Coturnix japonica: one gene and its partner. The protein of the gene in region 1 binds, or shares a complex with, the protein of each later gene. Links are inferred from orthologs where the notes say so. Each region holds a gene or a part of one and is shown in the gene's direction. Other genes may lie near its edges.

Region 1 (4,993 bases):
GGGAGGTAATAGATGAGTCTTACTTGTAGCCTTACACTTGGAGGGTGGTTATTTTGCGTACATGCTCTAAATAGATTACTCCATGAGATACCTTTAACGGATGTATGAGAAGCTGAAATTGTACAATAAAAAAAAGTTAATTTTTGTCTGAGGGTTGATTAAATCCTGAGTTGCCTTTTGCTTCTGCTAAATTCGTATCTTCGTGATTGGCATTCTGAACTCCCTCGGGTTTGGTAGAGGCCAGATGGCACAGTTGAGAAGCGTGCACACATCATTGTGTGGTTGGATCACTTGCCTTAGGAGAAAAAAAAAGAAGCCAAACTAGAAATCAGAGTGACAGAACGTGCTGAATGGGAGCGATTCATTTAATTTCTGTTTTAATTTCTTTTTGGCAGGCTATGACCGTGCAGCCTTGGATGCAAACACAAACAGTGCCAGTTTGATGCTCAGTGAAGAAGGTGCGGAGTCATTCTCTTATGATAAGTCTCAGGCTTTTCTTGGCGTGCTGCTTTCTAAAAATATGTGTATCCATAAAACGTGGGACATGTGTGCAGCTCTCTATTTAATGGTGAATCACGTGGAGTGAATGTATGCTCAGTTCTTAAGCTTTTAACTTTTCTTCCAGCTACGTCCAACCATCCGCTGAAGACCTTACCAAGCTTCAAAACGATTGAGCTGACAAACAGCAGCAGTGCTGCCATGGTGAATGGTATGTCACAGTTACAGCAGCCTTTCAGATAGCTCTTCAGAACTTCGATTACAATTATGTTTTCTGAATCTTGTTCGCTGACCATTTCTCAAAGAGCAGAGAGATCTTTCTGGAGAGCTGTTAAAAAACACAGGTGGTGAAGGGGTGGAAGTGCTTGCTGTATGGAAATGCCATTTCCACTTAAATTTGGGAAATACATTTAATTGTGAAATGCTGGTGTTCATTTGTATTAATGTGGTAGCAATACTCATTGCAAAGCAGATAATTTATACTTTCCCAAAAGGATGCTAATTGATGTGGGATGCAGTACTTGTAGCTCCATAGATTTAAGGGTAATTAAACCTCTTGCTTCAGTGCACAAAGAATGGATGTATTTTTGCTGCATAAAACACAGCACCTTTGACTGGCACTGTTATGCAGGGAAGCATTTAATTCTCAGCAGCACCAGGTATTGGCTGATGTTAAAAGCAAAGTGGGAGGTTAAATGGACTGATTTGCAACGTCAGTGTGCTAGATCTGATTCCTTAATGGCATGAAATCAGCACAAAAGTTGGCTTTCGTGGCTGTGATATTTCATTGAATCTCTTCCTCTTCAATGTGGAGTCCTCACATTTAGGCCTCTGTCTGTGTCTTCGCTCTCAGTTGTTGCTATTCACCTCTCTTGAACTGCTGACAATTCAATTTACTGCTTAGCTCGCATCCTGCCTCTGTGTCTTTGTTACACTTCTCATGCTGCTCTTCATGTGGGATCCCTCCATATCTTCATGAACCAGGCTCCTATCTTCTCTATTGAAAGCTTTCTTTCAAAACATTTTGCTGATAAATTTCATTAATCTGCTCTCTAAGATAGAATATCCTCAGGCCACTGAAGGTATTGTGTATTCCCTGTTCAGTTGCAGGCTCTGTGTGGCAGAGGATGCCTGGTTTTGTTATCTGATACACCAGCTGAGCCGCTTGGCACTTGGCAAAACAAATTAAGCAAAGGATTGGATCAAAAAGGGCTGTCTGAGGCTCAAGAGGATAGCTAAAAAACAGGCTTCTCAGAGCCAGTCAAGGTGCATTAGCAAAGCTGTCTGGCACACACTTGTTTGGCTTCTGCCTGTGCTAATTTTGCACTTCTATGAAGACCAAACAGCTTGTCTTTTAGAAGCAAAATAAATCTTTGCTGAGGATATTCAGAACTTGCAAAATGCACAAGGGCAAAGATAAGACTGGTAGGGATAATCTGCAGGGTGAAGTATACTCTATAGAGTATGCAGTGCCTGTCAGCCTATAAACACTCTATTCCCTTGCTAGTTTCTCTTGCTAGTTCTCAGCCATTTAGATCTCAGGGCTTGTTTGTTTTTTTCCCTATGCCACTATGCATAGAAATCCATGACAGTTGGCCAAGGTTGATCACTTTAGCAGATTTGGTTACCTTTGCAATAGCAGCATGACTGTTCTCTTGGCAGTGTCTTGCAAAGAAAAGGTTGTGTGCTTTTTCTGTCAAGCTATTCTCAGGAGAAAGACTCAGTTGCAGTTACCTGCCTACTAAGAAAGCACTAGTCATGCAGATTGAAATCCCTTAGCTTCATTTGATTAAAAAAAGCCTACTTTTAGACCCTATATTTATTGGTTCCCAATGACTAATTGTTTCTCTTAATGGAAACATGGTAGATCTCCAGATGAATCTCTCAAAGTAACAGGTTTCTGTATTTGCAAGTTCAAAATGTCCTTAGGAAAACTTAATTTCCAGCTTTGAAGGCAGCCTGATACCTTTTATATACAGAAATAAAAGAACTGGGAGTTACAGATTATTCCTTTTTGCTCTGTGTATGAAATGATTTGGTATATCACCAGATTTTGTGTTATGTCCTATGATTTATTTTCAAGATAGAAGAACTTTGGGTTTTTCTTCCCCTTGTCAGAATGGCAGCTGCAAAGGAGAACCCACATTCTTTCAGTTAGTTGTTGTTGTGCTTTCAGCCCTCATCTCTTGCTCCTGAAAACCTTGGGCAACAAACTGAGCTCTGCAAAGCATACAGAGGAGGTCTGGGTGGGTGTTATAACTTCTTTTTATCCTGGGTTTGGATAGGAAAAGAAATCATGGCCCTGCTGAGGCTGAGAGCTGGAGATGAGAAAACCACTGTGAGGAAATCTGCTCTCCAGGTATGGTGTTCTTTGCATGATTTCTTGTTCTGCATGATTACACAGAATGCCATTGGAACAAATAATTGAGCTGTAGTACTGCAGTGAACTGTATGTAAGTTTGCCCAGCTGTAGCTTCTTGCTATTCCCACCGAGTGCATTCAGTCCTTAAAAAGGTCATTTTTGCTAGTTCTTGATAAGTAAATAATGCAAGGAAGAAATAACATTCTAGTACTCTTTTGCTGGCATTCACTTATTCCATCATTTAGAGAAAGAGCCTCTTTCCAAATGTCAATAGGTATTTAACTTAAGCGACTTCCTTACAAACTGGGGCATAAGAGGTGCTTTGTTTCTACCTTGTTAGCAAGAGTTTGGGCTATATCTGGCATCATTTTGAGGGATGCACTGCTTTTCTGCTTGCTTCATTTTAATTAATTAAGTCATGAACTTTGAAAGGTATCTTCTTCAATGTGAATTTCACTGTTTTATAGGATACGGATCTGTTGTTGACTGCCTTTCTCCCTGTTAGTCCTCTTTCCCTTAGTTCTTCCCCTCCAGGATAAATCAGGATGAGAACACCTCAGGTTAAGGGTTTCTGACTGTTTTGTTGTGAGGTTTTCAATTCTTTTCCCTCTTATTGGCAGGTGAAAGATGTAGGTCATAACAAGAGAAACATTGGCTTCAAGGGGGAGTTGTGGCATTGACTCAATGCAGAATTCTCTTATAAAATCTGAAGGACTGAGAAGTTCTCTTAGCATTCTGTATCAAGTTCTGCCCGGTACTTAGAAATTACTAATGTTATGTTTCCCTTTCATTGCGATACATTCTATTCCCTGTTGACTTAAATTAGGGATTGATCTATTTCTGATTAATTTCCCCATGCATCCTGGCTCGTATTCCCGATGAACTCATGCTGTTTTTTGACCTGCAGGTTTTTACAAACATCCTGAAGCACAAAGCAATCCCTTGCACTGCAGAAGATTTGTCCACTCTTCAGGACCGTTGCCGGGACCCCGCAGTCTCTGTGCGGAAACAGGCCTTGCAGTCTGTGACAGAACTCCTCGAGGTGAGGAAATGAACAACACCAATTCTTATGGCTGAAATGTTGGTTTAAGAGGATGAGGGCACAGCAAATCACTTATGACTGTGCTCTTTATTTGTTTTAATCATCTCTTGACTTGCAATCAGTGACTTGCACATACTTGCCATTTATGTGGGATGCTTTCAACTGCTGGAAATGCTTTTCTTTTCCCTGCCTGTTGGTTTTATGTGTCATGGAAGGGATGTTTATGTTGCTGTCCTTCTGAAATTTGAGAACCTGAATCATTTTGCTGTGATACAGCATGTTCATGATGCCACTGTAATGTTTTTCCTTCTCTTCTATTTATTCTCAAAGGTTTGGTAACTTAGTCATGGAGCATAAGGTTTGTATTAATCAAAACCCTCTTGTTTTAGTCTTAAATCATCTGCATTACAGTTTTATTGCAATACTCTCATAATTATTTATAGAGTTTCAAAACAAACTATTGCATTGCTTTAGCCCAGGTAGTTTGGTCAGAGTACTGTACTTTCTGCTGTCAGTTGAGCAGTGAGCTAATTGTAACTTATTTTACAAGTTAACAAATGAATCTCAAGGTTTCTAGGCTTTCGTTGGTCTTATCTGTGCTTGTAGGACCACATCATAACTAAAGGAGATGTTTCTAATACAGTGTGTTTCTCTCAGGTCCAGCACGATGATGTCCTGGTGCACAAGGCTTGGTTGACTGGAGTTGTGCCTGTTGTAATGGACTCTGAAACTTCTGTTCAAGAAAAGGCCTTGGAATGCCTTGATCAGGTTTTGTTGCAGCACATAAAGCATTACAGTAAATTCAGGAGGGAAGACAAGAAGCAGGTGCTGGCATGGGATCTCCTTACGCTGCTGACTTCGGAAAGCCAGGAGCTGAGGTAAATGTGGCTGTCCTTCATTGTGGGCTCTTCTGGTGTTTCCAAAACACTCCTTTGTCCAGTGCACTGGATCTCTTTGTTGCCTTTATTATCTTGGCATTCGTGGACAAAATCCAGATTATTTTATTAAACTTCTAATAGGATTAAAACATGCAGCTTTTCCTTTACGGTAGGAAATGGCTTAGTGACCGGAGGACTAAGATACAAGCATGG
Region 2 (4,993 bases), on another chromosome or scaffold:
TGTGTGTTTAATAAGCTATTGTCTCTTTTCAAAATGAAATAATTGACATGCATGCTGCAGCTCTGGCTATTTGTCAAAAGATTGCGGTCATAGAATTCAATCTTACAGAAAGACAAGACACCAAATAAAGAATATGTACCAGAATTTCTAGAATGTGTTTGATCAATTTCCCAGGTCTGAACAGAAACCGAAAATGAATGTACTGATAAAAAATGAAATAGGTAGTTATCAACAACAGAACTGATATTCTGCATGATGAGTCAGTAATAATGTTCCTTGTTAGTAGGTACACAGAAGGCACGTGATTAGGTAATATATAAGCAAATTTTTAATTGTCTTCTGTTGTATTTCCCATATGTCTCACTTAACATAGTGCAGATTTTACCACTGAGCTGTGGGTCTTTTCAAATTCTAGTCAAGGGAAAGATTCGGACAAACTTTAATCACAGTCTGTGTCTTTGAATGGCCCAACTCATTGAAATGCTGGCTGATTAACAAAAGAGAATTAAATGATTCCTTGGATTTTATATTCTTATTGCTTCTCACTACTACTGAACTGTTGTTTTTTATAGTAATGTTTTTGTTCTGATTTATTTCTGCTTCTCTTTTCTAGGCCTATCTGTCAATCTGCAAAGATGTCATAATGGTTGGTCTTGGAAATGTCAAGTTTCAACTGCACTTTTTAGATATGGCACTTTCAGTAATACAAACAGGTACGAAATATAGTGCTAACATCAGCACCTTCACACACAATTAGGTGACATGTTTGTATATTGACAGAACTGTTGCTTTTTTGTTTTGTGGAATCTCTTTCTCAAAAAACAGTATTTATAGTTGATGCTAATATCATTCATATGGTGAGAAATAACAACAGCTTTTCAGCAAGTTGAAAACAAGCAGAGAAACTGTCCAGCATCTTATCATTGTTGGTGGCTGATGTTTTTTCCTTGCTGTTAAATTCCTGTTACATAATTGGTATGTCACACAGTAGTATATGTACATAAATATTTATGCACACTGATCTTATGTGTATCTAAGGAGACAAAACTGTAGTGCAGTTTAAATTTGGCTCACGTTTGGAAAGTTAAGTTGACAGCAGAGACAGAATTAAAGCTCAGTTCCTCCTCACAAAATAGAGTTTTATTCTGAATACATCAAGAAATTTTTTAAGGAACACTGGATTTATACTTAATTAAATACTATTTGAGATATATGAAAAGTAAAGCTGAAGGTGCTCAGAAACTAAATGCATCATCTAGGAAACTGTAGCTGTGTTTGTGGTATAGAAGTTTTGTTAAAAATTTGCATCTAAAGAATATCCCATTTCAGTGTGTATATTGCGGTATTTCTCTCTTTAGCCAGGGGTGCCTTTTGTACACCAATACTATTGTGTGCACTAAGAGAAATTACTGAAGCTTCTCTGACTCAGAGCACTGAGGTGGATGAAGTAGCAAATGTCCTCCATGCTGTTCAGACCATGTTCCAGAAGGTTTTAGAATGTGTTGCAAGCAGAATCAAGGAGCAGCCGGGAGATGGGATTCAGGTATTACTGTTAACATCGCTACCTTTATGTAGATGAATCCATGCTTGTACTCAAATGCAAAGTGATGTTACGCTTTGAGGTTGTTACTCCATTCATCTGATTTATATTATTAGTCACTTCTTCTAGTATTAATGTTTCCCCATCTCCAGTAGGTTCTTTAACCACTGTTGGTCTTGTGACAGAATTGCTAATAAACAAGAGAACAGTGTGTTATGTTGCCAGTGATGTACCCTATGAATGATCTACTGTACCAATTACCTACTCTAGCACTGTAGGTTAGGTCACAGGTTAGATACACTATTATTAACCTTCTTGTCAATGAAAATGGGCTTAATCCTGAGCAAGGGATTTGGTTATATATGTTCTGATCCTGAGAGAGATAAAAAACTATGGCTATTTCTGTTTGTTTCAGCATGAATTTCATCAGCTTCAACATGTGGATGATGTCCTGTAGTTCTTCAGACCATCCTATCTTCACAGAAAGTTTAGCTTCTTGCATTTCATAGCATAGAAGATAGTAGTAAGGTAGAAGGATCGCAGTGGAAGATATGACGATATGCTTATTAGGTCTTTTGAAATAAGGGCTTTTTTGGTTCAATCATTGCTTTGTTTGCTTTTGTCTGAAACTAGTGAGTAGAATTTTGACCTTTGTTACCGATTCGCCCTCCTGATGCCAAGTGAATGAGTACCACAGTGACTTTCAGGGTGTCATCTGCACTTCTTTGCAGACAGCGGTTTGTTGAAATATTTTCATCATTTTCATGTAATCTCAAGCAGCCAATCTGTTTCTCTTTGATTTCAGTTGATTCAGTCTATTCAAACGCCTCTTGGAGATTTCTTACACGCAGTCCAGTGCTGGCATTCATTTTGCCCAGCAGTTCACCAGAGTGTGTTCTCCACTCTCCTAGCTGCAGTACTGGCAGAGATCAAGTATGCGCTACAGGAGGTAAAGTTAATGCTGATTGCTTTTTAAAGGTTATATTGGAAGTAGAAAGCTGTGTTCAGGAAATGTGTTTTTCCTACCGCAGATGATGCTTTGTGTGTTATGGCGTGGAACAAATAGGATGTTTTATTTGCCATAATTTGATCTTAAAATGCATCTCTTGGATTTACAGACACATGTAAGATGCCTGTCTTGATACTTTGTTCAGTATCTGATTCTTGCAGAAAATTTTAGAAGTTAGGCAGTGTTGGGGGTAAACAACGTGGTCTTTTTTGAGAAGTTCTTTGTGTGTGTATTTGTACCGAGTCTGGCTTTGAAGGAGTTAATTTCTTTCATCGCAGCCCGTCTGCTGCTGTGGTTTGCGTTTGAGTTGAAAACAGCACTGGTGGTACACCAGCAATTTTGGCTGTTGTTAAACAGTGTTTGCACAGTGACAAACTCCCTCAGCCAAGACAGTTGACCCCGACTGACCACAGGCTCACCTCAGACCAGATAATGTGCTCAGCAATCAAAGTGCAGGGAAACAAGGAGGAAGAAGGATCATTTGTGGTCTTTCCAAGCAAGCATTATGCTCTCTGTCAGAGAGAGCCTCTTTCCAGCCTTGCTTTCCAGGAAGTGGCTTGATATGTGCCTATCATTGGCACAAAGGGAATTAATTTTGTATTTTGCTGTACAGGTATGTGCAGCTTTTATTCTAGTAAATCAAAACATGCGCTCTAAATACTTGCCATACTATTGAGAACTTCATACAAAAAGAGTTGGCCTGGGGAATCAGTGGCATCTAACTTTAAGAAATTGTGTTATATTCTTAAATATCCTTCGTGTCTTCAAGTTTATTTCTGTTCAGCATCCTGTGTGTTTATAAATAGTGACTGGTCATAGACTGGTACTCAGGCAGACTGTGGAGACTGTTTCCCGTGATGCTGTTTACGTGCTTCAGTTTTAGCCTAGATTTTATTTTTTGTTATTTTGGGCACTGCACAATTGATTTTAAGGTGTTCAAACTGTGCATGGGAATGCTGTTTAGGTCCTGTTTAGCGTTAACTACTGCAGTACAGATTTGCCTGGATATTTTCTGCATATATGTTAAGTTATTGACTGTTTCTTCTTTAGGCTTCCAGTGAAAAAGCTTTCACAATACCAAGGACAGTTTCAGACCTTCCACCTCTTTCAAGCAGCTTAATGGCAATCATTATGAAGTCTGTTAATGTGGTCAGGTAAATGTTTCTCCATTAAATTGTCCAAGGTTGCTAATAACACAGAATAGAACAGCTTTTGTGTATTCAATAACATTTTAATTTCTGAATTCAAATATGCTTTGAGAAACTGAAACTTCTTATTCAGTTCACCTGCATGATCGTAATCTTGGAGATATTGACTGCTGAGCTTTTTCTTAGTTTTAAATATCCAACAGTGCTTATTTACAAGACTGTTCACCTAACTGAGGTCTTTAATCAGACATCATTCCTTTTTAGATTCACAAGAAAGAATGGCTGTATAAAATTCAAAACCTTTTTCAAGTCCTGTACTTTGATAAAGGAGTTGTTCACTTTTTTTTTTAATTGGAAACACCTCAAATTAATTTTTATGACATACACATTTTAGAACAAAATGTTAATTAAACTCTGGGTTCCAATTAAGCTACAAGTAGAATTAGATTTAAAGGCCTGAGTTGTTACTGGCAATCCACCGGAGTCATATAATGTATTTTAAACTTCACTATGAATTGATTTTAGCAAGTTCACTATAAATTGTACAAATTGCATTCCAGTGGTTACAGTACTTTTTTCAGACTGTTCTTTCCAAAATATTCCACAAGCTCTTAATTTCTCAGACAAGCTACTTATTCTATGGGAAAACTTTCTTTTCTTCCCAAGCAATGTATGAACTCACACTCAAAGTCCCATAAGAAGCCTGTAGTTGTCCATCACCCCATAAGCACACATTTGCCCTATATGGTATCTTCAAAGCTATGGTGGTGGTGTAGTATAATCACAAGCTTGTTCTGTTCTGTTTTGAAATAAACATGATTTAGAAAGTATATTTACATTTTTTTTTCCCTTAGGTCATTTTTAAATGAATTACTGGAATGCATTCTATCTGAAGAAATTGAAGGGATTTTTAGTCTTACGTCTGTGGTATGCACTGTAATTGTAATTAAAGGTCAGTCAAACCCATTTTGTACCATATGTGTGTGTGTGTGTGTATATGTATATATATATATATATGTATATATTGCTGGTATAATATAAAAAGCCAATTCAGCAGGCACTAAGGCCTATCACTTGTACATGATGGTATTAAGGTTTGGACTTACAAGTTTTGTAGTGAGTTGGAAAATACGACTGCTCACTCATAGGGTCCATCTCTATATTTTGGTTTAGTGAAACACACATTAATTTAGGGCAGTAAAAATCTAGTCATATCTAATCTTTTATTAAAGTGCTGTGGGTTTTTTTGTCTTTTTAAAAGACACACTATGAAAATGTGCAAAAGGGTTTGGGTTT

What was found.
Region 2: the proteins of NCAPD3 (region 1) and NCAPG2 are in contact, whole or in part, in a cryo-EM structure (PDB 9F5W), measured with the Homo sapiens proteins. The link is inferred for Coturnix japonica from reciprocal best matches to the Homo sapiens genes NCAPD3 and NCAPG2. Residues at the interface, in NP_056076.1 of Homo sapiens: Glu1213, Lys1216, Ile1217, Pro1218, Leu1220, Gln1247, Ser1250, Glu1251, Tyr1254, Lys1258; in NP_001268861.1 of Homo sapiens: Phe291, Lys332, Pro333, Ile334, Trp336, Lys340, Ala341, Arg342, Arg347.

The regions. Positions count from the first base shown.
Region 1 is NC_029539.1:2,130,348-2,135,340, reverse strand, and holds part of NCAPD3 (condensin-2 complex subunit D3), read left to right. Parts: intron 1-395; coding exon 396-458; intron 459-625; coding exon 626-709; intron 710-2,783; coding exon 2,784-2,857; intron 2,858-3,767; coding exon 3,768-3,902; intron 3,903-4,559; coding exon 4,560-4,780; intron 4,781-4,993.
Region 2 is NC_029517.1:8,480,555-8,485,547, reverse strand, and holds part of NCAPG2 (condensin-2 complex subunit G2), read left to right. Parts: intron 1-613; coding exon 614-713; intron 714-1,358; coding exon 1,359-1,543; intron 1,544-2,345; coding exon 2,346-2,489; intron 2,490-3,599; coding exon 3,600-3,703; intron 3,704-4,551; coding exon 4,552-4,649; intron 4,650-4,993. UniProt on the Homo sapiens protein: Regulatory subunit of the condensin-2 complex, a complex which establishes mitotic chromosome architecture and is involved in physical rigidity of the chromatid axis.